Linked DNA regions of Oryctolagus cuniculus. The protein of the gene in region 2 interacts with the protein of the main gene of each other region in a biochemical or structural test. Links are inferred from orthologs where the notes say so. Each region holds a gene or a part of one and is shown on either strand. Other genes may lie near its edges.

Region 1 (4,063 bases), on a different chromosome or scaffold from region 2:
CCCTGAAGGGGTTCTCCCTGTGGGCTGCAGGAGGGAGGGAGGGAGGGAGGCTGAGGAGTGACTGTCTGGAAGGGCCAGGGCCCAGTCCCCCAACCCTCTTTGGTCTGGCTGAGGCACCTGAAGCTCTGGGGACTTCTGGCTGAGGTCAGCAAAGGCGTCACCTAGTGCATGCTGGGTCTGCAGCAGGCTGTAGAGGTGGGCTGTCAGTGCCCGGCCCAGCTGCAGGACACTCTCATACTTGCGCTTCGTCTCACGCAGCAACTCAATCTGCAGCTCTAGCTCCAGGTCCACAGTCCGGGAGCCTCGGCCAAATCGCTCTGATAATAGTTGCTTTGTACACTGATTGGGAAGTGAGGGAATAGGTCAGAAACCCTAGCACCCTGCCTCCCTCCCAATAGGTACGTACTCCAGCACCCCCAGGCTCCTAGTCTCAGCCATAGATGGCATATTAGGATTTGGGGGAAAAAGTACCCAGGGGGAGTTTTGGGGAAGGGAGAGGGGCTAAATCCCACCTTATATGTGTTGATGCCCCATTTCTTGACAATGTCAAACTTCTCTCCAGCGATGCCCCGAGCCACTTCATCCCCAGGGCCAGGAGGAGTGGTGCTGTGAGATGGATGGCGGCCAGACCCTAAAGGACCAAGTTCTCTGACACCAGCTGCTCTCAGATACAATCAGACATCTCTAAGGCCTCACTCATACTTTCCTTCCAGCACATGAAAATGACTTCCCTAAGGAAGCTTGAGACAACTGAATTCTCCTGCTCACTAGAAGGGACATGTATGTACCTCATGCCCTGAGAATCCAATCCCAATATACATTTGGCTACCTTTGTGTGTGTGTGTGTGTGTGTGTGCTGGGGTAGAGGGAGGTTGGGAGGAGTGTTGCTGGTATGCAGGGCAGGGACAACAAGAAAATACATTGTGTTGGGGGTGGGGTGTCAAAGATGGTGAGTCCTTGGAAATCTGGTAGGCATCTCCATGTGGAATCCCAGTCAGTGACATCCGGGACTGTTTGTTCCTCTAAACTTTAGAGTCTAAAGTAAAACTGAGAAGCCTCACAGAGTTCCAAATTAGGCTTAAGCTTTAGAGCAGGAGAACTTTTGTGAACCAGAAGTCTTAACTTGGTTCAGATGGTTGTAGCAGGGAAAGGACAAAAATGCCACGTCAGGGGCTAACTGGTAAGTGGGAAGCCGACAGCAAACCCTGGGAGCTGGCTTTGGGCTGAGAGGACTCTATGGGGTTTGTATGAGCAGAAGTTCCCAAGCTTTCCGAGATACACTTGTATACCATGCTCCTCCAAACCACTCCTACCCCCCTCCCCACTCAGGCTTCCTGTCTCTGATCATTCATACCTGTGGGGATGAGTCCATCACCAGAGCCCCCATAGCCCCCAGACACAATGCTGGTTTCATTGAGGTTGGGTCCTGACACCATCACCTGCTGGAGGTCCTATAGGCCAGAGAAGAGGGGGGCAGCTGAGGCATTGTGGGAGTGGGAACAAGCTTGGATTGAAGCACCACAGACAGTACACTAGAGAAGTCTGCACAGAATCAGAATGAAGATTTGTAAAAAGGATGAAGTGAGGTAGATAAGCTAAGGAAGGTTGCTGGAATAGGGGTGAGAGCCCAGGTTTTATAAACTGGATTCCCGAATTGAAACAAGAATGAAAGAGAAGCACCTGCTCCAGCCCATCATCTTCAGGAAGCTGCCCAGCTTCGCCGTTCCCATGGATAGGGATCTCCATTGTGGCTGCCTTCCCTAGGATCCCGTCCGTCATGGCTAGGGAAGGGGCTGGAGCCAAAGTCTCCACCCCAGCACCCTGCAAAGCCCAACAGACAGTTTTGGAAAGTGGCCAGCAGTCTGGAAGAGAGAGTCCGCTCCTGCCATTTCTCATGTTTTAGAGGTAGTCCCAGGCTGAGTGTCCTGGAGTTCAGCCACCACTCCTTTCCTCAGGCATATGTATTTCTCCCCCACCGAAGCGCACATTTCTACACACCTACACCCAAGCCTCAGGTGTCTTCTCACAGCCTCCCCACCTCCCAACCTCAGGACCTGGTGCTTGTTCATGCATTCACTCATTCACCAGACATTTAGTGAGTGCCTACTATGTGACAGCCACTATCTGAGGCAATGGAAACACAGCACTGAACAAGAGAGATAAAGTCTCCGGTCTCTTGGAACTTAGCCCCATGCAGGTGCGCTTACTCCCAGCAGGAGCCAAGCCCCCTTCCAGCACTCCAGTGCTTTCTCCCCACTCAGGTATGCTCTCTATTGCTCCGCCTTTCATACTCCTAAAATGTTCTTTCCCTCTTCCTTCAGGGTGGTCTCCCCCCTCCATCTCATACACCTCCTCTTCCAGGGGCCCTCCGCACCAGGCCTCGCTTGAAACAGCTGGTCGCTGGTAAAAGCCTCTCTTCCCCAGAGCAAAGGTGATCCCTTCCAAAGTCAGTTGTGTCTCTCAGGTGTGTGAGTCCCTGTTCCCCTCCCCCCGACACACCTGGGCATCAGGTGTGTCCTCATCCTTGCCTATCTTTCAGGGGCATCTTGCCCTCAGGACAGGTCCGTGCATTCAACTTCCCCTCGCCCAGGCACGTCCCTCTCACCTCGGGCCGGGCAGCTCTTCCCCTCAGGGCGCCAGGCCCGAGCGGCGCGGGGACCTCCGGTTCCAGTTCCCGTCGCGATCCTAGCAGCAGGTCAGGGACTCGGCGGAAGTGACGGCCTCTCCGGGCAGAAGAAGCTGGCCACGTCGCAGATTCTAAGGGCGGAGGTGACGTAGCAGCCAGGGGCAGGGCTATCCTGGGGCCAACCCTTTAGTCCTTGGTGGGGGGGAGGGCGGGGGAGCGACGAGAGATTACTTCCGGGGCGGTACCCAGACCTTGAAACGGAAGTGACGTAGGGCGTGAGCGCCTGGCGGGATGGAGCAACAGCAACAACTGAGAAACGTGAGTGCTGCTAAGTCGCCCTAGAGCCGTGCCGTGAGCTCGCTTTGCAGGAACTGCAGAGAGCCAGGGATGCCAAGGCTGGGAACAAACGGCTATGAAACGTGGTCCTGGGAGGCCTGTGGCTGCGGGGCCTTGAGGTATGGGGCCCATATCGCTGAGTTCTTGGTCCCCTTTTCTTCCAGTTGCGGGACTTCCTGTTGGTCTACAATCGGATGACAGAACTCTGCTTTCAGCGCTGTGTGCCCAGCCTGCACCACCGAGCCCTGGACGCTGAGGAGGTGGGCAACTATGTAGGGACGTTACCCTCGATCCTCAGTTACGGGTCGTCTGCCTCCTCCACCCCCTTCCCCTTCCTCTCCGGCCTGGCCTTCCCACCACCCTCACCCCTAGGCTGCGGTTGGGGAAGGACGAAGCCGGGCCTAACGGGACCACTTTGGCCTCTACTTAACCCCTCTGTTTTCCTTTCAGGAGGCCTGTCTACACAGCTGTGCTGGGAAGCTGATCCACTCCAACCACCGCCTCATGGCCGCTTACGTGCAGCTCATGCCTGCCCTGGTACAGCGCCGCATCGCAGACTATGAGGCTGCCTCAGCTGTGCCGGGTGTTGCCGCTGAACAGCCTGCAGGCTCACCGTCCAGCAGCTAGCCACCCCCAGTCCCAAAAGGGAAGGCCTTGGATGGGCCCTCAGATTGAAGGACCCTGTGGACTTTGACTAGGTGAAGCCTGCACGAGGGGTTGCCTGAAAGTTGGGTACCGTTGCTCCATTTCCTGGAGCCAATAAACCCACCTTTTACTCTGTTTGGTTTATATTATGGGCAGGGAACCTTTGCTCACTGTAGGCACCATCCTTTGTTCTGTCGTTTAGTGCATATCTGCTGGCCTCAGCCCTGACCACTGAGGAAGTGTTTTCTATATGTAGAAGGAAAATGTCTGGTGTTCAGGCAGCTGGTTAAGTCAGGCTCTGTAGGGACAAGATCAAGGTCGGTAGTAACAATAGAATTGTTTCCTTCCCGGATGGCAGAAAATGGGAGCCCTGTCTGGCCATGCTTAAGTCTGCCTTAAAAGATGCACCTGTGAGTCAAATGTGGATTGGTATGTGACTGTTTTTGTGGACTGTGT
Region 2 (4,070 bases):
AGCAACCATAATGTTCTTAGGATGTGTTTGATCAGCTTCATTTTTAGAGATACTTTCACTAAAGTGAAACTGACTACTTTATACTTTAGTTGCATCTTGAACTCAAAAATCCCTTTGTACCAGCCGGAGCCTACAACATAGCACCTTTTCTCATCTGCTTGAAGAAAAATGCTTTGTCAAGAGTTTTACTTTGAATGGTTGATTTTTTTTTTTAAAATAGCCTTATGATTCTCAGATATCTTTGGTAAAAGCTCCATTATACAATATGGCCAAAGCATGAAGGACCAATACTGTCCAACTATACCATGATATCCCGCTCAGTTTTGTTTTCAGACACCCTCATAAACGAAACCCACTCCACTTTTTCCTGTATACTGCCTTTGCAGTCTACATTTCTGAAATTCCCTAAGTTTAATTCCTTGAGGATCACTAAAATTAATCCTTAAGGCTATATAAGAACCAGATGGTGCTTCACAACTCTGTATCAAGCATTAACATTTGGTTCAAAATACTACCATAGTGGTCTCAATCTAGCTACTGGTCCTAACTTGCTACCCAAGTAATTCTGTTAGGATCTGGATATCACCAGTGAGCACACTGCTTACCCTTGAAGAAAAATAAGTTTACATTCATTGTCATCTGTAGGTTCTCTCTTCAGCCCACTTCCCCTTTGTCATCCCTTAAGTCTACACATCCAACATTCATTCATCACATTGCCTTTCTTAAAGGAGACAGTGTACTATTGAACCAACAGGTTGTCTTACTATTTGCACGAGTTAATCCCACAATCAAACAAAATTAAATATCTTTTTTATAAAACATCTTTTCCAGTGTTCTAATTAAAGGAGATGTGGATCACTCATCTATAAAAAATGATATATCTTCAGCTTAGTCAGTTGCAGTAATGTGAAAACAGGAATGTGTATTTTTCCATCTAGGTAAAAGGTGCATATAACTTGAATCATTAAATGCTTTATTAATGAACAAACTAATGTTTCAGTAACTTTAATACTACTGCTCTTAAGACACTTGAAACAATGTATAAGTATTCCAGTTTTGCCCAAAAGTCGCTTAAAATATCTACAGATATCTGTGTGTGGCACACACCATTATTGCTCCATTTTCTGGAAGGAGTCTATTTTTGATGTTAAAAAAAGGAAAAGTTGCTAACTTTGCAGTGAAAAAAAACCTCATGTCCTTGGCGGGTTATACTTTCATATTTTTTGCAGTGTTAAGTTTGCTATGTTATGACGACCCTGGGTTTTATTCCTACTCATGCATGATGTATGTCTTAGGAGTTAATAGCTGACATTTCAAATAAGTTCTTACATTACCTGTTTAACATACTGATGTGCAACTGGAACATATTACAATGATATTACTCATTATTTGCCACTGTGGGCTAAGTTTACTTATACTGGTCTTAGGTCACATTTGAAATTACTAAGTTAGAATTCATAAGGGGGGGAGCCTTAAATATAAAAGACAAACGGCAGTTTGATTAAGCAATAATTTTCAGTTTACTAGATGAAACAGACTTGCAACATAGTCTGCATGAATGCAAAATAAGCCATCTACAGCAAGTGATAAGGAAACTGGATAAAAAAAAAAGGAAAAAAGCATACATTTGGGGGGGAAAAAGATTCTCTAGAAATAAAAAAATCAAACCATTATTATAAAGGACTTTACCAAGAACTGCTGTATTTCCCCCACCCCATTTGCTGGAAGTCAACAAGAGCACCTAGCACTTTGTGTTCATGTCAAACGTCAAATCAGAGCATCCTAACGCAAAGCGGAATAAAGAAAAGAAAAAAAAAAAAAGCAAAAAAAAAAGAAAAACCCCAACCCCCCCTCCCTAAACCGTAGAACTGTAACTCCAGAGTTCAAATTCAAAAGAAGAGAAAGTGGCGATTGAAAGAGGTGATGGTGGCGATAATCCTATGAATGGGTTTTTGATTTCTCTCCTTCCGGGGGCTGGGTGGAGAATGCTCATTAGGACTTGTAGTTAGAGGTTAACCATGTGAGCCCCTCATAGAGTCCGTCCCCTGAGGTGGCACAGGAGGGCTGCACATACCAGTTCCTGTCCCGAATCCGGGTCAGGCCCAGTTTCTCCTGGATCTCATGGGGTTTCATGGCATCGGGCAGGTCCTGCTTGTTGGCGAAGATGAGGATTATGGCGTCCCTCATCTCCCGGTCATTGATAATGCGGTGCAGCTCCTGGCGGGCCTCGTCGATGCGGTCGCGGTCGGCGCAGTCCACCACGAAGATCAGACCCTGGGTCCCGGTGTAGTAGTGCCGCCAGAGCGGCCGGATCTTGTCCTGGCCTCCCACATCCCACACGTTGAACTTGACGTTTTTGTAAGTCACCGTCTCCACGTTGAAGCCCACGGTGGGGATGGTGGTCACCGACTGGCCCAGCTTCAACTTGTACAGGATTGTGGTCTTGCCGGCCGCGTCCAGGCCCAACATGAGGATCCGCATTTCCTTGTTCCCGAAGATTTTGGATAGCACCTTCCCCATCGCGACGGAAGAGCCGGGGCCGGGGGCATTCAGGTGTCCCGGTTCCCCCTCAAGCCAACAACGCCGCCGCCGCCGCCGCGAAACCGAAACGAAGCCTCCCTGCCGCGAGGGCGCCCGTGCGGCCTGCGTGGGAGTCGCCTCCTACGGGGCGAGAGGCCCGGGCCTGCCGCTCACTCGGGCATCACCGACCCGCACAACTTGGTTCCTCCAGCCGCCGCCGCCGCCGGGGCCCTGAGTCTGCGCCCGGAGAGCCGCCGCCCTGCTGAGGCGCGGCCCGGCCCGGAACTGCCCTTCCCCCCCGCAGGCGCCGCGCGAGCGCCGCCGCCGTGCCCGTTCCTCCGCCCGCCCGACGGCCCGCCGACTACCGGGCTCGCCACCGACCCAGGCCACCCGTCAGGCAGCGCGGCGCCGGCGTCCCGTCAGGTCATGGATCCTCGCGGGAACTCAGCGCGCTGCCTGCGGAGACACAGAGAAGGAGAAGGGAGTTACCGCCGGAGCTCCGAACGGGAGCGGGCGCGGAGGCCGAGGCCGCCCGCCTTAACAGCTCGGCCCCCGGGTGTCGGTGCCGGGTGGTGGTGGTGGGGGTTACCTCCAGCCGCCGCCCCGAGCACGGGCTCGCTCCGGCCGCCGCCACCTCCTCCCAGCTCTGCCGCTGCCGCTGCCGGAAAAGGCGCCCAAGAAACCGCCTCACTTCCCCTCCCGACCACGCAGGCGCAGCGCAGGCCGACCGTTCGGACAAGAGCGACCTCTGGAAGGAGAGCGGCCCGCGCGCCCAGCGTCACGGGCGCCACGCGCCGGAGGGGGCGGGGCTACGGCGTCCCGGAGGGCTCGCGGGTGCCGCCCGCCCGAGCCCGCGCGCCTCGGGCTCTGGCCCGCGCCCACCTGTCGCTCTCGCCGCGTCTGCGCGCTCGGCGGCCCCTTCGTTCCGCGCCTCTGCCCGCCCCCGCAGTCCGGGGAGCAAATACTCCGGGGAGGTGGGGAAATGGAGCCTCCGCAAGGGCGGGGCCGCCGGACGAGCCGCCCCCACGGAGCCGCTTGCAGGCCCGGAAAGTTCGGCGGACTTCGCGCGCCCCGGGTCTCCCGGGGACGCCTTGGCCGCTTTTTAGCTTTTTCTCCGACCCCCTCCTTGGTATCGTTGCCTCTGGTGTTCAGGGTTTTCCTGGAAGACGCATGGGAGGCCGGCGCGCTCGTGTTGAACCCGCCAGTCAGTGGCGCGCCGTGGCTGGGCTCGGGTTTGCTCGGAAGCCCCTCTCTCGAACACTGGAGCCCTGTCCGTGTTGCATCAGGACCAGCTCACGTTTCTTGTAAAAGCTGGCGGTGAAGAGCTTTCTGGAACGCGATGAACTGTTCTTAGTCCAGTGTCACTTCCTTTTAGTATGGGAGCGGCAGCTGCTCACCCACCCACCCACCCGTGCTGCAGTCACCTTAGCGTAGGGTGTAGAACCTGAGAGGCCACTTAACCTCGTTCGCTGATCTCCTGTGTAAACTGACCTCGCTTACTCCGCCCCGCTTGGAGGATGAAATAATACCATGTTGGTGGAAGACCAAGG
Region 3 (4,213 bases), on a different chromosome or scaffold from region 2:
AGGGGCCGGTGTGGTGGCCCAGAGGTCAAGGGGCCGGTGTGGTGGCCCAGAGGTCAAGGGCTGGTGTGGCCCAGAGGTCAAGGAGCCGGTGTGGTGGCCCAGAGGTCAAGGAGCCGGTGTGGCCCAGAGGTCAAGGGCTGGTGTGGCCCAGAGGTCAAGGGGCCGGTGTGGCCCAGAGGTCAAGGGCTGGTGTGGCCCAGAGGTCTAGGGGCCGGTGTGGTGGCCCAGAGGTCAAGGGGCTGCTGTGGTGGCCCAGAGGTCAAGGGGCCGGTGTGGTGGCCCAGAGGTCAAGCGGCCAGTGTCATGGCCCAGAGGTCAAGGGGCCAGTGTGGTCGCCCAGAGGTCAAGGGGCCGGTGTGGCCCAGAGGTCAAGGGCTGGTGTGGCCCAGAGGTCTAGGGGCCGGTGTGGTGGCCCAGAGGTCAAGGGGCTGCTGTGGTGGCCCAGAGGTCAAGGGGCCGGTGTGGTGGCCCAGAGGTCAAGGGGCTGCTGTGGCCCAGAGGTCAAGGGGCCGGTGTGGTGGCCCAGAGGTCAAGGGGCCACAGCAGCACCAGCATCCTGCACGAAAGCGCCAGTCTGAGGCCTGACTACTCTCCTATCCAGCTTCCTCCCAGCATTCCTGAGAAGGCAGCGAGATGGCGTGAGTCCTAGGGCCCCTGCCGCCCACGTGGGAAACCCAGATGGAGTTCCAGGCTCCCTGCTTCAGCCTGGCCCAGCCCCAGCCTTTGCCGCCATTTAGGGAGTGAACCAGCCAATGGGATATCTCCCCCATCTCCCCCACCCCGTGTGTGTATTTATCTACCTTTCAAATAAATAAATCTTGGGAAAAAAAAAAAAAAAAAGGACCTGAAGCAGCAGTCCCAATCAGGCCAGCTCCGGAGGACTCCTGTCGCCGCCTCTGCCCATCAGAGGAGGCAGGCCCACCCTGACAGCGCCGCCCAAGCACGAGGCACTCCACTGACCCAACACGGAGGGGTGCTCAGCAGGTGCCCGGACATCGTCCATGCTGTGAACCCAGCAAGGGCCCCAGGTCTGCATACCAACTGATGGGCACAGCAGGCTCCACTCTACCTGCTTTGAAAACCCTCTAGGCATAAACGCGCGCGTATGTGCGTGAACACTCACTCCACGAAAGTCTATTCCTGAGAAGTCAAGGAACACAAAAGGTAGCAGACGGACGCTAGAGGTTCCCCACCGGTAAGCAAAGTACGCACATGGATAATCATGATTTCCCTGGCTGTCCGCGCACACACAGCACGGGGGCATCTTCACCTAACTTCAGCAAGTGACCTTCCGGGGTCGGCGCGGGCCCGGGCACTGCCCCGTGCACTCCATCCGTCCGCCTGCGCGTCCCACCCGTGCCAGACGGCGCCTCCGTCAGCTCCAGGCTCATTCTCACCTCCTGCCCGCAGGAGGCACAGAACCCAACACTTCACCCCCAAGGAGCTGCCACAGCGTTCCCCGGCCACAGACAAAGAAGGAATCTCCGCAGAACCTAACCCAACCACACACAGCCAAGCAACTGCGCTCACAAGGGGCGTCCCCCAGGAGGGTCTCAAGGGGCAAGGGGGCTCCGGCCACGCCTCGGGCGGCCTGGGGCAGGACGCTACGCCGGGAGCTGGCCTTGGGACGCGGCCCTGGGCAGGACAGGGAGGCGGGGGCCTCCCGGGAAACCCCACCAGGAGCCCAGGGCGGAGCGGTGGATCAGAGAACGCAGAACCCCCGGGCCTACCCGTGCCGCTCACCTGCTCGGCCCCGTAGGCCGTAGCGAACTGGACGAAGTCCTCGATGCGAACGAAGCCGTCCCCATCCCCGTCCAGGGCGTCGAACACCGCTCGCAGGCGGGGGCCGTCCTCCGGACACCCCGCGGGCTCGCCAGGAAGGGGCTGCTCCGGGGATGCCCGACCCTCCTCCGGCGCCAGCTCGTCCACGGCAGGCGAAGGGAAGGCGGGGAACAGGTCGGCCGCATCCCGCACACCGAAGCTGAGAGCCGGAGCCTGCACGCAGAAAGACGGGCTCTCCGGGCACGGCGGGAGACCACAGTCCTCCGGGCCTTTGGTCCAGGAGAAAGGCGGGTCGGGGTCCGGGGATGCCACCTCGGAACGCGGGTCGGGCTCCGGGGATGCCACCTCGGAACGCGGGTCGGGCTCCGGGGATGCCACCTCGGAACGCGGGTCGGGCTCCGGGGATGCCACCTCGGAACGCGGGTCGGGCTCCGGGCAGGCGGCCTGGCGGGCCCCGGCGTCCGCATCCTGCCCCCGCGCACCGCGGCTGGGCGGCCCGGTGTCCTGAGGGTCCTCCAGCCCCGGGGCCGGCTCATCGCACTCCGAGGGACCCGGGGCCGGCCCGGCGGACGCGCCCGGCTCCGAGTCGGGGCCCGGAGGGGAGGCCGGCCGGCCCGGCTCCATGTTGCGGGGCGCGCCCCCGGCCCCGGCGCGGGCCCGCGAGGCTAGTGGTACGGCGGGCGGCGCGGGCGGCAGACAAAGGCGCTCAGGGCGCGGCGGCGGGCGCGGGCATCCCCGCGGCGGCGCGGGCGGGCGCGCGCGGGGCGCCCGGGCTGCTCCGGCTGGCACTCGGGCCCTGCTCCGCCCTCGCCCATCTTCGCCCCGCGCCTCAGCGGCCCTCGGCCCGGCGGCGCGGAGGGCGCGGGCCCATGGCGGCGGGCGCGGCACCACCCGCGGAGGACGCCGAGAGCCCGGCAGCTGGCGCCGGGCGCGGGGCGCGCGAGGCGAGGACCCGAGGCGGCGCCGGCTGAGGAGGATGCGGCGCCCGGGGTACCCGAGGAGCGAACGCCGCGGCCGCCGCCCGGCCCCGCCCTCCGTCGGCCTGACGTCAGCACGCCGGGCGCCGGCCGGCCCCGCCCCCCGGCTTTCTATAAATAGGGGCGCCAGGGGGCGGCGGCCGGGGCCGCGGCGGTGTTCGCGGGGTTTCGCCGTCGGTGGTTGTTTCGGCCTTTTCGGCGACTCCGGCCCAGCTTTTCTGGGCCTCGGGCGCCGGCAGCTTGCGTGTTGGGCGGCTGCGGGTGCCGGCGTGAAGTCACCAGCGCGGGGCGCGCGAGGACGGGCCTCGAACCTGTGCGCGCCGCACACCCACGCGCGGTGGCGACGTGGAGGGAGCTGCGCCAGCGGGGGGTGAGCGTCAAACGCCGCGCGCGGGTTGCACGGAGGCTGAGTCCTCACGCACCGCGGGCCGGCGTGACGGGTGCGGAGCTGCGGCCTTCGGCTGGAGCCGTGGGGGCGCGGCGTGTCCGGCGTCCCTGTCCGCAGACGCCCCGGGGCAGTGTGTGGCGGGGAGAGCGGGCCCCTGGAGAACCAGAGCGCGCCCTGGGGAGAAAGAGGAGGGGTCGCCGCTGCTCCGGGCTCGGCCAGAACCCCCCGCCCCGGGCCGCACACAGTGTGCAGAGCCGCCTTGCTGCGTGGAGATGGAAGCGGAGAGACCGGCGTCCCCGCTCAGAGCCCGGAAGGCTGGGGATCTGGGTGCTCCCCAGTTGCCTGCAGCAGCCAGGCCTCGGCTGGGCCAGCGCCGCATTCAACCTGGACGCGCTTGCCGGAGCCGGCGCTGCCACGCGGGCCCCACGGCCCAGTGCCCACCCGGAGGCTCTTTCCTGCCGCTGTGCCAGCGCTAGCACCAGGCCAGGGCAGCAGGCCTTCCCCCGCGGGCCAGCCGTTCAGACCCAGGGCTGCCCAGCGACAGACCTGCTGCCCTCCGGACCGCCCCGACCCTGGAGGAAGGGAGGGCAGATCCCAGCTGCCGATGTCCGTGGAAGTGACCGGAAGGTGTTTGCGCCCAGCGGGTTGGAGCTCAGCCAGCCCGTGGGTCACCTTGTTCCCTTCCTTGGGGACCTTTGGCCTGGGGGGGGGGGGAGCTGAGGCCAGGCTGGTGGCACAGCCAACAGGGGGGGAAACAGTGAGGCGGGAGACCTCAAAGGGGGCAGGGGGTCCAGGACAGGCCAGCTGGATTTGCTCAAACCACGGAGGTTGTAGCAGACTGCATTGGACTCTCCCTGCTCGTGCGCATTGGCCGTGGTGTCTGGGTCGCACTCAGCGGCTGCTGCTGTTGACGCCTGGAGCCCAGTGTGCTCGGCCAGTGGCGGCCCTTTCTTCCTTTTCCATGGCTCTCCTGCCCCTGAAGTGTTGGATGTTACAAGAATCTGAAGATGATCTCTCAGTGAACTGTGGATGTCCTTAGACATTGAATAGAAATCTTACCGTTTTA
Region 4 (4,220 bases), on a different chromosome or scaffold from region 2:
GGTGCAGGGCCCAAGCACTTGGGCCATCCTCCACTGCCCTCCCGGGCCACAGCAGAGAGCTGGACTGGAAGAGGGGCAACCAGGACAGAATCCGGCGCCCCGACCGGGACTAGAACCCGGTGTGCCGGCGCCGCAGGTGGAGGATTCACCTAGTGAGCCGCGGCGCCGGCCCCAAAATTCTTCACGTTGGCTCCACCAGGCTGCGCGGGCGCTCCACCCGCCTGGGAGCTCAACGTGAAGACGGCATCGAAGGCGAACGGGAAGGAAGGATTTCGGAAGCTGCGTGAGAACGCTCTGCAGGCTTCCTCTCGGGAGAAAACGTTCACTGAAAACTGGCAAAGTCACAACAGATTCGCGGTGACAACGTGCGTCCGTAGGGCAAACTTCCTGAAACAGAGACCAGCTGTGCGTGTGCCGTGGCGGGCGTGGTGCGGCGCGGGGACGCGGCGTGGGGAGACCACCCCGGAGAGCAGGCACCTGCGTGAGGGCAAAGCGGTCACTGGCCCGCAGCCCGGCTCCTGCAGCACCGCAGGGCGAGAACTCTCTAGCAACCCCCCAGGCCCCTCGGGTGCACTGTGTGTGCTTCCGTGTTCCTAATTCTGACGCTACACGGGAACATACCCCGGCCATGTATGTGATACAGAGAATGCACGCGGAATTCCATTTTTCTTTTTCCTGAGCACAAATAGTTAAATTTATGTAAGTTAAAGGCTCCTCTGGCGCCATAAACGGATTTAAAAACAAACGACCCAGTAAAGGCACAGCCCTCCCCGGGCCCAGCCAGGCGTCTGCAGCGAGGACCGCGGTCCAGGCGGCCTCTTTCTCGCTCTCCGGTTGAGCAGGGAGCTGAGCCCCGCGCTCTGTCTTCGGGCCATGACAGATCAGTCATGCTCCAGAAGTTTTGGGTTTTTTTTTTTTTTTTTTAATACTAAAATGGCAGCTGGGAAGTCATAAAGCATTTCCCCAGAGAAACCCGCTGAGCAGGGCGCGAGTCCCGGGCTGACTCAAACCCTCACCAACACCCAGGGCAGGGCAGCTGTGACAGCTACAGCGCCAGTAAAGTCCGCGCAGGCCGCGCCGCGTCCTTTCGAGAACCGAGTTCAGCTGAAGAACAGCGAGGCTGCCAGCGCCTTCGCGCTCCGCCAGTCTCCCCGGCTCCCGAAACGGGGCCTGGGGGCGGCCACGCTGCAGACCCCGAGGGAGTGCGCGTGCACGCGCTTGCGCGGCCCGGGGCCGAGAAGCTGCGCCACCCCGTCTAAACCTGTGCTGTCCAGAGGGAACGTCCTTCCCCCTCCACGTCCAAACCCGCACAACCGGAGGCTGCTCCCGGAACCGGCAGGCAGGGGCCGGGTTCCAGGCAGAATCCGGCCTGCAGCCCCCAGCCGGGCGTGGCTCGGGCCCAGCAGGCACAGGACGGGCAGCCCCTAGAGCGGAACCGGGCCAGGAAGTGGTTCTCCCCCGGGGTCTGCAGCAGGCGCCCCCTGAGCCCGGTGAGGCCTCGTCCCACCCCACGCCGTCACGTGACACACGTGCTGTCTGGAGCCATGAGTTGGTGACTGAGGGAATGGATGCACCTGCTCCCATCCACCCCTCCCAAGTTCAAGTTCAAATCCCGCCCGGGTGCACGCCCCAGGAGCACCGGACCCTAGCCGGCCAGGGGCAGGGGGCCGCGCGCGCACGCCGGGACCCGAGGGACTTCGCCGGGGACGCCGGAGATAACCCGGGCCGGGCTCCTCCAATCACAACAGGCACGCGCGCTGCTCCGGCCTCGAGGGGACAAGGGGACACCCGGGGACAGCGCCCACCTGCTGCCCACGCGAGCCTGCGGCGCCAGCGCCCGTCCGAAGCCCACCTCTCCGCCGGCGAGGCCGCCGCCGCGCTTCCCTCTCGGGCTTCTAACTCGCCGCCGGCCACAGCGGCGGTCAGCGGGGTCGGCCGCTCGGCCCAGCTCGGCCCAGCCGGCGCTCGGTCAAGTTCAGCTCGTCCCCTCACTTTAATTCCTCTGAACAAAACGTTAATGAACTAACCGGGTCACCTTCCGCGACCCCTGCCACGCTGGGCTGCTCTCCGGCCGCGGCCAGCGGCTTCCGGGGCTCGGCGAGGACGAGGCTGCCAGCCCGGTCTCCGCCCGTGGACCCGGCCAGGCCCCGGCCCCGCACTCCGGCGTCCGCTCCGGCCACTTCCGAACAAAGAACCGGACCGCAGCGCACGGCCGGCGACCACCGAGGACGGCCGGAAGCCAGCGGAGGGCGGGCCGGCCAGGACTCGGGCGTGGGCTCCCGGCCGGCGACCCCCGCCTCGGCGCCCCGGAGACCCCCGCCCGAGACCCTCCGCGCGCCGGAGACCCCGGCCCGACGGCCCTCAGCCCTCGGAGCCCCGCAGACCCCCGCCCGAGACCCTCCGCGCGCCGGAGACCCCGGCCCGACGGCCCTCAGCCCTCACAGTCCCGGCGACGCCCAGCCTGAGTCGTCGGACTGCGGCGACCCCCGGCTCCCCAGACCCGACGCCCCCGGCCTGCGGAGGGTCCCGCGCGACACCCGGCGCCCAGAGCTCCGCGTCCCGCACCGCCGTCCACACCAAACACGGGCCGCCAGGGGCGCCGGGCCCGGGCGCCGCCAGGACGCGAAGCAGGGGGCGCAGGGCGGCCGGGCCGCGGGCTGCACTGACCATAGTTGTCGTCCTCCTCCATGGTGCCGGCCCCGGGCTCGGCCACCCGGCTCGCCGCCACCGTCCCGCAGCTCGCGTCCCGCAGCCCGCTCGCCTCAGCCCGGCTCGGAGCCCCGCCCCCCGCGCCGCGCGCACACGCACGCGCGCGCACACACACACACAGACACACACCCGCCCCGGCCCGGCACGCGCCGCCTCCCGGCCCACGCCTGCGCACGCGCGCTCCCCAGGCCACGCCCGCACCCGGCGTGTGCACGCCCCCAGCACGCGCCGCCTCCCGGCTCGCGCCTGCGCCCGTGGCAGCAGCCGAAGCCCCGCCTCGCCCAGCCGCCGGCCCCGCCCCAGGCCCCAGGCCCCGCCCCCGCCCGCTTCCCGAGCCCCGGGCAGGTTTCGGGTTTCGCAAGGGCGACGCAGGCCTGCGGGTGTGGCGCGCCGGTAAAAGCTGCCCACAGAGGCCCAAGGTCACGTCCGGCCACTGAAGGGCAGCGTGGTCCTTGCTGACGTGCACCTGGAAGGTCAGGGCAGGCCCCAGCTTGCGTGGCGAAAGGCCGCGGAGCGACAGAGTCCGTCTGCGCCTTTCGTGTGTGACTCTGCGGAGTCTGTCGCTCACGCTTCCCGGTGTGTGTGGGTCGAGTTACAAAGGGGGCAGCCTGCTGCCGGCGGGTCCGGGCTTCAGCGACTCCCCGCAGCCCCCTGGCTGTCCCCTGGCGTCCAGTGGAGTGGCCGGAGCGCAGCACGCGGAGCTCACAGCACCTGCTGGGCAGGCGTCCGCAGTTCCCCAGTCGTGAGCCAGCCAGTGACTGGGAGAGGCCCTGAGACATACCCGCCCCCGTGAGGTCCCAGGTCCCAGGCGGGAAACCGATGCCCGGACACACGGAGGGGCTGGGCGGCAGGTCCCGGGCCCCTTCCACCTGCTCACCCGGCCTACCCCCGTGAGGCCCTGCAGGAAGGAACCGATGACACACGGGGAAACTTGGGGGCCTCTTCTCTTTCTGTGTGACCAAGGGGAAAATCCCACGGCTGTGCTGCCGTCACCAGGACCAGCCCTGTCCCGGCTGCAATGACTCACGGCCCCCCTGCCTGCCCACCACACGGCCGAGCACTCCCCGGGGATCCCTGGACCCGGGGTGCTCTTTGTATTAGACCCGCCGAAAACAGAAGTAGAAGCTACAGAACACGCCCCGAGCCCCTGCCGCGTCTCGGGCAGCCGCGGTCCTGCCCCGGCGGTGTCGGCCTGTCTGCCAGATGGCTCGGAGCCTCAGGGGTTTGGGCCCCCGTGGAGCGCCCTGCAAGTGTCCACTTCAAAAGCCACAAACGTGACGTGCCTCAGGGTCATACGAGCTGCCATGTGTGTGCGTGAACATGTTTTTTCTGGAAGGAAACACAGAAAAACTGTTGACGGGGGTACTGCGGGAGGAGGGGGAGTCAGAACCTGGTTTCCCATCCGATTCTTCATTGTCTTTCTGTGCTGTCTGGTGGTTGTTAAACACGGGACTGTGTTCCGTTCCTGCTAAAAATCTAAAGGACGTGTCGCTCTGGATGCGTCGTCTCTT
Region 5 (4,177 bases), on a different chromosome or scaffold from region 2:
GCCACGTAGGAAGGTCAAGAAGCTCAATGCCAACACGACGAGCGAAGAGGGCGCCTGGATACGGCCGTGCCTGGAGGAGGCTCACTCATGGACTTTGGCATTACAAGAAGCAATCAACTCCCTAGTTTTGTGTGGGGTGGGGCTCACCACTCCGGACTAAGGAAAGTGACTTTCTGCCCCCCCGACCCCTCCCCTCACCTGAGGGCCTGCACCAGATTGAGGTCGGTGAACTCATGCAGATCCACAAAAGCATGGAGCACGGCCAGGTTCAGCTCCTCCCTGCGAGCACAGGACAGTCACACACACAGGAACGCACAGGGGGCACTGGGGCAGCTGGCCCTCGGCAGGGAACGCGGCTTCCCGCCTGGCCCCACGGCAGGGCTGCTCAAGTTTAGCTGCACCGTTGCTGGGAGACTCGCACCCACCACCCACGCCACCTCCTGCCCCCTCAGACGACCCCACACTCCCCAGATGTGGACACGGTGCCCTGGCCCCTAGACGTGCACCCCAGTGGCCATGAAGGCCTGCCAATGCCCCCCGCCAGCCACATGCTCCCCAGCCATCACCCAGCTGCACATCGCCTAGATGTCCACGGGGTCCGTGCTCCCTAGGGGCCTGCCACGCGTCCCCACACTCCCTGGCTGGCCAGACAGCTCCCACGCACACCTGCAGCCCATGCCTGGTTCTCCCACTCCCGTGATGCTCCTGGATGCTCTCTATAAGGGGACCCCCGTCTTGGGCGCTGGCAGGCCGCCCACACCCAGACACACACACTCCGCAGCAGTCCGGTCCGAGGGCCAGTGTGCAGGGGCCCTGCCCAGGGAGCGAGGCCGGCAGGCATGAAGGGGCTCACCTCTCCCCCAGGTAGTCCCCGATGGCTGTCTTGTTCAGCCCCTCACCCTTGTACAGGAAGCGGGCGATCTCCTCGGGGGTATTCTGCAGAAGTTCATTCTCCACCAAGAACTGGATCCCCTGGCGGGCGAGAGCGGGCTCTCAGTGCCCGGGGCCAGGCCGTCACAGGTGCCTGGACCTCAGCCTCCCTGTCCCTGCCTGGCTAGGTCCACGCTGAACACCTGCTTGCTGAGTGACGGTGTCAGTGGGCAGCAGTGGTGGACACCGAGCCCCAGGCGGCCTGGAGGCTCCTCGGCGCCCTCTTGGCCGTGCAGCCCCTACGCTGCAGCTACAGCTCGTTCTGGGCGGTGGGTCTGTGTCCAGGGCCTCTCCTCCCTGGGTCCCCAGCTCCGCCCGGCACAGGGTCGGGCCCTCGGGAGGCACTGGAAAACGGGTGTTAAATGAACGACTGGGTGAGCAATGCTGGGCCAGCGTGCGCGTCCCGGCTGCTCCACTTCCAAGCCACCCGCCTGCTAACGTGCCGGGAAGGCAGCAGATCATGGCCACGTCCTTGGGCCCCTGCACCTGTGCGTGAGACCCGGAAGAAGCTCCTGGCTTTGACCTGGCCCAGCCCTGGCTGTTGGGACCTCCCTCCCTCTCTTTCCCCCTTTTAAAAAAGTCTTTCCTCCAACTGGTGAACGCCTCTCCATCCTCCAAACCTAACCTGGTCTCCTCCTCGGGGCAGCCCCCCAGGCTCCCCGTTTGGCTGTCCACAGCCTGGTGTCTGGCGCCTCCCCAGAGGTTGGACTGCTCAGGGCTCACAGCGCAAGCGGACAGCCAGTAGCTGAGTCCAGGGACTGGGGACAAACCTGCTACAACCCCCCGCCCCCCGGCAGCACCCAGCCCTTGGCCCCCGGTACCTTCTTGGGGTCCATGTTGAACTTCTTCCTGCCCATTGCCATCTTCCGGTTCCGCTGCAAGGTCTTACTGCAGGGGACACGAAGCAGGGCGGGGGCGGCGGCCCAGGGTCAGGCCTGGCGTCCTGGGCCGGCCTGGCTCGGGCCGCCCGCCCCGGGCCCGGCCCTCACCTGCCCTCGTTGGCCTCCAGCCCCTCCACCTCGCTCATGGCCTCGCTGAGCTCCTCCCGCAGGCGCTGGATCTCCACGAGCAGCTCCTGCTTCCGCCGTCGGATGTTCTCCAGCTCCATCCGCTCCTCCGGCGTCAGGTCTGGGGGTTCTGCGGGGCCGGGGTCGGGGTGCCGAGGGTCAGCCCTGGGGCCGGGAGCCTGCATGCTTGCAACGTGGGGCGAGACGGGGCTGGGGCAGGACGCAGGTGAGGCGCCTGCCTCGGATGAAGGGGGCACTAGCAGCCTGGACCGCTCAGGCCAGGGCTGAGGCCGGGAGTCCCGGGGGGGGCGGGGGGGCTTAGGGCCCGGCCCCCAGAGTCTGAGGGGGAACCCGCGTGGGAGCCTCGGCCTCCGGGTCCATTACTTGGAAAGCGGCCGTGGTGTTCTGATTCCATTACTGGCGCGGCGGCCGGGGGGCCCGGGGGAAGATGGGCCTGGGTCTTCGGAAGCCCTGGGTCCAAGGGAAGTGACCACGGCAGGAGAAGCCGACGGCAGCCCGCGGAGTCGGGACGGCGCGGCCGGGCCTCGGCGGACCCGGCAGCCCCCACGGCCTCCCCTCCCCGCCCGCCGCTGGGCTCGCCCGGCCCCTCCGGCGGGAATGGTTCCGCCCCGGCCTCGCCTCCGCCGCGCCATCCCGCCCCCTCCCGCCGACGCCGGAAACGGGCTCGGCCCAGACAATGGCCCGGAACGCCCCGCGCTCGCGGACCCCGCCGGAAGCCCGCCCGGCGCCCCGGCCAGCGCGGCGGCGACGGCGGCGCCGAGGACCCCGGGCGGCGGGCGCCGGGCGCGAACGCCGGCGGCGGGGCGTTCGCCAGGGAACGCTCCATCCGCTCCACGGCCCCGCCCCTCCGGCCTACCGTAGACGCCGTCCTCCATGGCGGCGAGGAAGGCCCGCGGGGAGTCCGGGGCGGTCCCGCCAGTCGGGCCTGGATCCGCGCTGGCCCGCGGGCTCGGGTGAGCCCGCTCAAACGCCCCGGGAGCCACCGCCGCCTCCTCAGCGCCAGTCCTCAGCGCTGAAAAGACTCTCCCTTCGTCGCCCAACCGCCCGGCCGGTAGGGACCGCCCCTCGTCTTGACACCGCCCAATCCGCGGCGACCCCTCCGGGCTGCACCGCCCCCCGACGCCAAAGGACAGTCCGCCCAGGCCAATAGGCACACAAGAAACAGGTGTTAGGCATGTCCGGCCGGAGGTAGACAGCCAGGGGGCCCAATCGGGGTGCGGGCAGGGCGCCAGGCCCCGCCCCCGAAACAAAAGAATGCCCTTGGCAAGCCTGTCCACCAATGAGAAGCCTCGCAAAGGCGTTGTGAGGAGGTGGGGCTGTGCGCGAGCGGAGAACACTGAGCCTGCGCAAGGACTCGGGGCGCGCGGAGTCTGGGTCAGTCGAGCCCCGCCTCTCAGCACGTTGCCAGGGGGCGTTACTTTGTTAGTCCTGTTGCTAGGGGGCGGGGCCTAGGCCGTGAGCCACACCTCCCGGCCGGCCACGCTGGCTTTGGACCGCCGCGGTTGCCGCGCAACCATGAGCGGCTTCGCCGGCCTTTTGCCTCGCGTCTCCCTTGCTACGTGCAGACCCTTCCCTTAACGCCCCACATGACCACTCCAGCCGCTTCAGGGTCAGGACGTAGTGAAATGGAGTTCTGTCAAATGCTACACTCCCGGGTACCGGTCACGCAGAATGGGACGTTAGGGACAGCACCGGCTCCGCCCTCTTTCCTAAGCCCCTCCCCTTAGCGTAGCATCCTCCCTCCGAGTCTCTACCTCTTTCTCTTTTCTCTGCCGCCTCTCTGCTTTCTCTCCCCCGACTCCGGCTCTGCTCTGTTCAGGCATCCCCCACCCCGACCCTCTCAGACTCCCCCCGCGCCCCAGGCCCTCCCGTTCCACAGCCCCGGCCGGGGGTGGCAGGTGCGCAGGTCCCGCCTGGACAGAACCGCCGAGCCCCTGTGAGTGGTCAGACCACGGGGACTGAAGTCTCTGGGCCTCACCTCATTTGCCGTCCCTGGGCTGGGCGGGCGGGGACGGATTCGGGGCCAGGACCTGGTTAAGCCGTTGGATTAGACATGGAGCCTTTTAATCCCCTCACTGACCTTTATGAGCGGCCCGGGTCCTGTCCTACCCGGCCAGAGAACGGCGTGTGTCGGCTTTGCCCCCATTCTGTCCTTCCAAACCGAATCCCTCCTCGTCACTGCACCCCAACTTAACATCCTCCCCCACCCCTTGAGACTC
Region 6 (3,941 bases), on a different chromosome or scaffold from region 2:
CAGAGCCTTCTGCCCAGCTTGTCCCCCGTGTCTTGAGGCATGCACATGCTGCACATGACCAGCGTGGGTCCGGCTGGGAAAGTGGTGCCACTCACCGTAGAGGATGGTTAACATGGACACGGGCATGACTAGGAACCCCAGCAGCATATCGGCTATGGCAAGTGACATCAGGAAATAGTTGGTGGCGTTCTGCAGCTTTTTCTCTAGGGACACAGCCATGATGACGAGGATGTTCCCAGCAATGGTTAGGACGATCACTACAGCTGTCAATAAAGCAGACCAGTTTTTTTCCTGGAGACGGAGGAAGGGGAAACATGGTGGTGAGAGGCACCCTTCACAGGAAATGTTGGTGCGGTTTTCGGAGTCTACTGTCCAGTTAAATGCATCGGAAGTGTTGGCTTCTCCGGAGGAAACGTCTTTACTGTAGAGCCTTGTGTCATCGCTTAATTGCATTAAAGAGTTCATGGAGCTCAAAGAAGTGTTTTCTTCACACAGCATATCCATTTCTGAGCCGCAGCGTGCAGCAGCTGAAGTGTAGAGAGATCGCTAAGTTACAGCCTGTGCTTGCCATTCATCTTCGTCCCTGCACTCTGTCACACTGACGCTGTGGGGCACGCTGGGATCCTCTGGCTGCCTGCCCCTCTCCCATTATTACGGTAATGGAGAGCCGAGGTGGCGCTTCCTGTGTCCCCTGTTCCAGCAGACTCCAACGTTGGCTTTGATCTTTTGAAAACGCGAAGTAAGGACAAAAAAGCAGGATGAACTTTAAGCAGAAGATAGAGTTCAGCCAGGTGGTAGAGTTTTCAGCTTTGGGGGAGAGACCCTGGCTGAGAAAGTTTTGTAGCTACTAGGAATTGGGTTTAATCCTGTCTCACGCTGTCAGTTACTCGGATCACACTAGATTGTCATCTCAATATTGAGACGGCATGCAGTCCAAAACAGCAGGGATGCAGACAGTGTATGGAGAAAGTCAATTATAAAAACAAGCAGTGGTAATCCCATAGTAATTGGATATATTTCGCGTTCTCAGTCTTGGGCTGAATTGCCACAGCTGCCGTCAGGAATTTCAGCTTGCACTGTGCTGCTTCCTTAATAAAAGGAAAGAGGAAACCTCTCTGAAGATCAGTGGATAACTTTCCACGCTAGAAATTATCATCAAATTGATGGCACTGTGGCTAAGCATGATTTCAAACCAGAAAATTAGACAGCAGTATGGGAACTTACATTATCTTCAGATCCACACAGTAGGCACGCTGGGTTATTAGATTCCTTGCTGCCTCTCGCATAGTAATGAAGCCGGGTTGAGCTTTCTCCAGTAGCAGATGAGAGTAATTTGATTTCTGTTTTTTGCTGACTTCCAAAACTGCATGCGAGACCGGAGCCAGTTCCAGCACTGTGAGGTCCGTGTTGGCTTCCTCTGCCACCGCTCAGTCAGATCCTCCCTCCCTGTGCGGCTCGCTCAGCTGGCGCACGGCACGAAATCGCTCCAGAGCCCCCCTCAAAGTCGCATGGGAAAGTAGGCACAGACGTCAGCATCAAGGGGGCTCCTGGTTTCCAGGGGAATGAAATGGCCCTCTGGCTGCCTCCTTCCCTTGATTAGACCTCCCTCTGTGTGTCACAAACTGCAAGGTAGCAACAGCCAGTGAGGGCAGACCAAACGGGCTTTTTTTTTTCCCCTTTCCCCTCACCCTCTCCTTGCTACATGCTATCACTGGGAAGCTTTTTGCTTTAAAAATGAAACTGGAAACAAGGACTCGTATGTAGATTTGTGATGAGGCAGATAAGCTATGCTGTGATGTGTTGGGTTGAAGGGTGCAAAGTGTTGAGCAGAACAGAAATCGGGCTTTGGGATGGTGTGTTCTGAAAGCGTTAGAAGCCTACAGAGCTCCCATCCAAAGCCAACAGGGCTGGTGGCCAAAATGGAATTACTGACACGGGCAGCGTGGGCTTGGAGTGGCTAAGCAGGTCTGTGACAATAACCCTGATGAACGAGGAAGTTTTACTTTGACCATTAAACATGCCCTTCAGCTGGCTGGCTGGCTTTGGGAGAAATATGCCATCTAGATCCTCACACAGGGTAGCAAGTAAGCTTGGTAGAAGAAATGCTGGTGACTGTGCTTCCCTCGTAGTAGTGTGCTGCCTGGGAGTTGTCTCGGGAAGGCAGACAGATCTTAACCTTACACGTGCAGAAAGGGGCTCTTTGCTGAATCCTTGGGGTTTTCTACACTCCTGTCACCTTAACATTCACCCTGGGCACACCTAACTACTCATGCCTGCCACGTGTTGGTGGCTGAATCTGTTCTTTCATAAGAAGATGAAGTTCCAGATCTACCCATCCCGCTGCCCTCTGGACCTTTCCCTCTAGCTGGGAAGACCTTGACCTCCTGAGCATCCATGGCCATTCTCCACTCTGTCGGGGTGCTTGTGCCAGTCACTGTCCTGGTTAGTGGAAGCATCATCTCTACACACGGCTGCTGGTTAGTCACTGCCTCTTTCCTGCTGCCAGATCTCCAGCAGCCTCCAGTGATACCTCGAGCTGTGTATTTCTCACGACTCTCCTGCTACAGCCCATGGCTGCCGTACTTTCGGTGAGGGCTGTGGCAGCCACTTGCTGGGCTGGTGTACTCGTTTTCCCCCTCGCTGCCCTGTTCCCATCCTGCTCCTCTGCATCACATGAGTGCCCTGGGGAACAGTTGGCCAACAGCACAGTCTAGAGTGGCAGGTCCTTGGTACTGAATGTGGTTCTGTAGCTGTAAATAGAACCCCAAGCAATCTGGTTTCTTGCTTCAAAGCTTAGCCTTCTCCATTGTAAAATGGGATAATGGTGGTACCTTCCTCACGAGACTGTTATGAAGCTCAAATGAGAGTCAATTACTTAGTGTTCTCCTTACAAGATGCTCTCAATACTAAGCGTTTACTATTCAGTGTTTCAAAGGCAGAGACAGATTTTTACATCCACTGGTTCCACTTCCCAAATAACCACAACAGCCAAGTCTGGGTCATGCCAAAGCTAGGAGCCAGGAACTCGATCTGAGGCTCCCATGTTAGTGGCAGGGACTTAAGTACTTAATGTACACCATGGTAGGCAGCAGATCCTAGCTTCACAGGAAACTGGATTAGAATAGCCCGAACTCTGGTCTTGATAGCCATTTTTATTAACTCTTATTAAATGCAAATAGAATAATGTCAATTACTAAACTGTTGTAGGGCACATGGTTCCTTTCTTATCCACCTGTCCTGTTTGCCTAACTGCCCAGGCCTGTACTCTTGCCTCTATGCCTATTGATAGATTGAACCCGGATGTTTCTGACTACGTCTTTTTTTTTTGGCAGTTAGAAAGGTCTTCCTTCCGTTGCTTCTCTCCCCTAAATGGCCGCTACGGCTGGTGCACTGTGCCAATCCAAAGCCAGGAGACAGGTGCTTCCTCCTGGTCTCCCATGCAGGTGCAGGGCCCAAGCACTTGGGCCATCCTCCACTGCCTTTCTGGGCCACAGCAGAGAGCTAGACTAGAAGAGGAGCAACTGGGACTAGAACCTGGAGTTCTGGTGCCGTAGGTGGAGGATTAGCCAAGTGAGCCATGGCGCTGGCCTCTGACTGCTTCTACATGTTTGAAATGAAGTTTATCGGTTTGGAATGCTCTCGCTCTCCAACTGCTGTCTCCACCTGGGTCACTCCTGCTCACTCTTGAAACTCAGTTCCAAAGTGATCTCTTGGAGTACCAGAGCTGCTACTCACTATTTCTGACCTTTAAGTTATTTAATCTCTGGATTTTAGTTTCTTCACCTAAAATATGGACTACTAACACCTCGAGGACTGACTTGAAAGCTAAATAATTTCCATGTGTGTATTGCACATTTTAAGCACTCAGTAAAGTTCAATTGTTGCTTTTCTTATTAACAATGTACTAAGCTTTCTGTGGCCTTCTCCAGCAGAGATGAAGA

What was found.
Region 1: the proteins of ARF6 (region 2) and ARFIP2 form a complex in vitro, tested with the Homo sapiens proteins (2 studies listed by BioGRID). The link is inferred for Oryctolagus cuniculus from reciprocal best matches to the Homo sapiens genes ARF6 and ARFIP2.
Region 3: the proteins of ARF6 (region 2) and RAB11FIP3 form a complex in vitro, tested with the Homo sapiens proteins (2 studies listed by BioGRID). The link is inferred for Oryctolagus cuniculus from reciprocal best matches to the Homo sapiens genes ARF6 and RAB11FIP3.
Region 4: the proteins of ARF6 (region 2) and CYTH1 form a complex in vitro, tested with the Homo sapiens proteins (2 studies listed by BioGRID and IntAct, with this or other methods). The link is inferred for Oryctolagus cuniculus from reciprocal best matches to the Homo sapiens genes ARF6 and CYTH1.
Region 5: the proteins of ARF6 (region 2) and CYTH2 form a complex in vitro, tested with the Homo sapiens proteins (3 studies listed by BioGRID and IntAct, with this or other methods). The link is inferred for Oryctolagus cuniculus from reciprocal best matches to the Homo sapiens genes ARF6 and CYTH2.
Region 6: the proteins of ARF6 (region 2) and HTR2A form a complex in vitro, tested with the Homo sapiens proteins (2 studies listed by BioGRID). The link is inferred for Oryctolagus cuniculus from reciprocal best matches to the Homo sapiens genes ARF6 and HTR2A.

What each region holds. Positions count from the first base shown.
Region 1 is NC_091432.1:60,403,279-60,407,341, reverse strand, and holds the start of ARFIP2 (arfaptin-2), read right to left. Parts: upstream 2,801-4,063; 5' UTR 2,606-2,800; intron 1,822-2,605; 5' UTR 1,780-1,821; coding exon 1,681-1,779; intron 1,452-1,680; coding exon 1,355-1,451; intron 632-1,354; coding exon 513-631; intron 340-512; coding exon 118-339; intron 1-117. Other genes in the region: TIMM10B (mitochondrial import inner membrane translocase subunit Tim10 B), read left to right, coding at 2,918-2,944, 3,127-3,222, 3,413-3,589. UniProt on the Homo sapiens protein: Plays a role in constitutive metalloproteinase (MMP) secretion from the trans Golgi network. May have important functions during vesicle biogenesis at certain cargo subdomains, which could be predominantly utilized by secreted MMPs, such as MMP7 and MMP2.
Region 2 is NC_091443.1:26,198,546-26,202,615, forward strand, and holds the start of ARF6 (ADP-ribosylation factor 6), read right to left. Parts: upstream 2,801-4,070; 5' UTR 2,521-2,800; coding exon 1,993-2,520; 3' UTR 1-1,992. UniProt on the Homo sapiens protein: GTP-binding protein involved in protein trafficking that regulates endocytic recycling and cytoskeleton remodeling. GTP-bound form plays an important role in the transport of multiple palmitoylated proteins form the Golgi to the plasma membrane.
Region 3 is NC_091450.1:34,226,834-34,231,046, forward strand, and holds the start of RAB11FIP3 (rab11 family-interacting protein 3), read right to left. Parts: upstream 2,801-4,213; 5' UTR 2,407-2,800; coding exon 1,744-2,406; intron 1-1,743. UniProt on the Homo sapiens protein: Downstream effector molecule for Rab11 GTPase which is involved in endocytic trafficking, cytokinesis and intracellular ciliogenesis by participating in membrane delivery. Recruited by Rab11 to endosomes where it links Rab11 to dynein motor complex.
Region 4 is NC_091448.1:2,886,020-2,890,239, reverse strand, and holds the start of CYTH1 (cytohesin-1), read right to left. Parts: upstream 2,801-4,220; 5' UTR 2,690-2,800; coding exon of another isoform or gene 2,671-2,689; coding exon 2,668-2,670; intron 1-2,667. UniProt on the Homo sapiens protein: Promotes guanine-nucleotide exchange on ARF1, ARF5 and ARF6. Promotes the activation of ARF factors through replacement of GDP with GTP.
Region 5 is NC_091449.1:8,592,821-8,596,997, forward strand, and holds the start of CYTH2 (cytohesin-2), read right to left. Parts: upstream 2,801-4,177; 5' UTR 2,785-2,800; coding exon 2,322-2,784; intron 2,068-2,321; coding exon 1,920-2,067; intron 1,819-1,919; coding exon 1,752-1,818; intron 973-1,751; coding exon 854-972; intron 280-853; coding exon 199-279; intron 1-198. UniProt on the Homo sapiens protein: Acts as a guanine-nucleotide exchange factor (GEF). Promotes guanine-nucleotide exchange on ARF1, ARF3 and ARF6. Activates ARF factors through replacement of GDP with GTP.
Region 6 is NC_091440.1:65,865,664-65,869,604, forward strand, and holds the start of HTR2A (5-hydroxytryptamine receptor 2A), read right to left. Parts: upstream 2,801-3,941; 5' UTR 1,225-2,800; intron 1,089-1,224; 5' UTR 505-1,088; coding exon 96-504; intron 1-95. UniProt on the Homo sapiens protein: G-protein coupled receptor for 5-hydroxytryptamine (serotonin).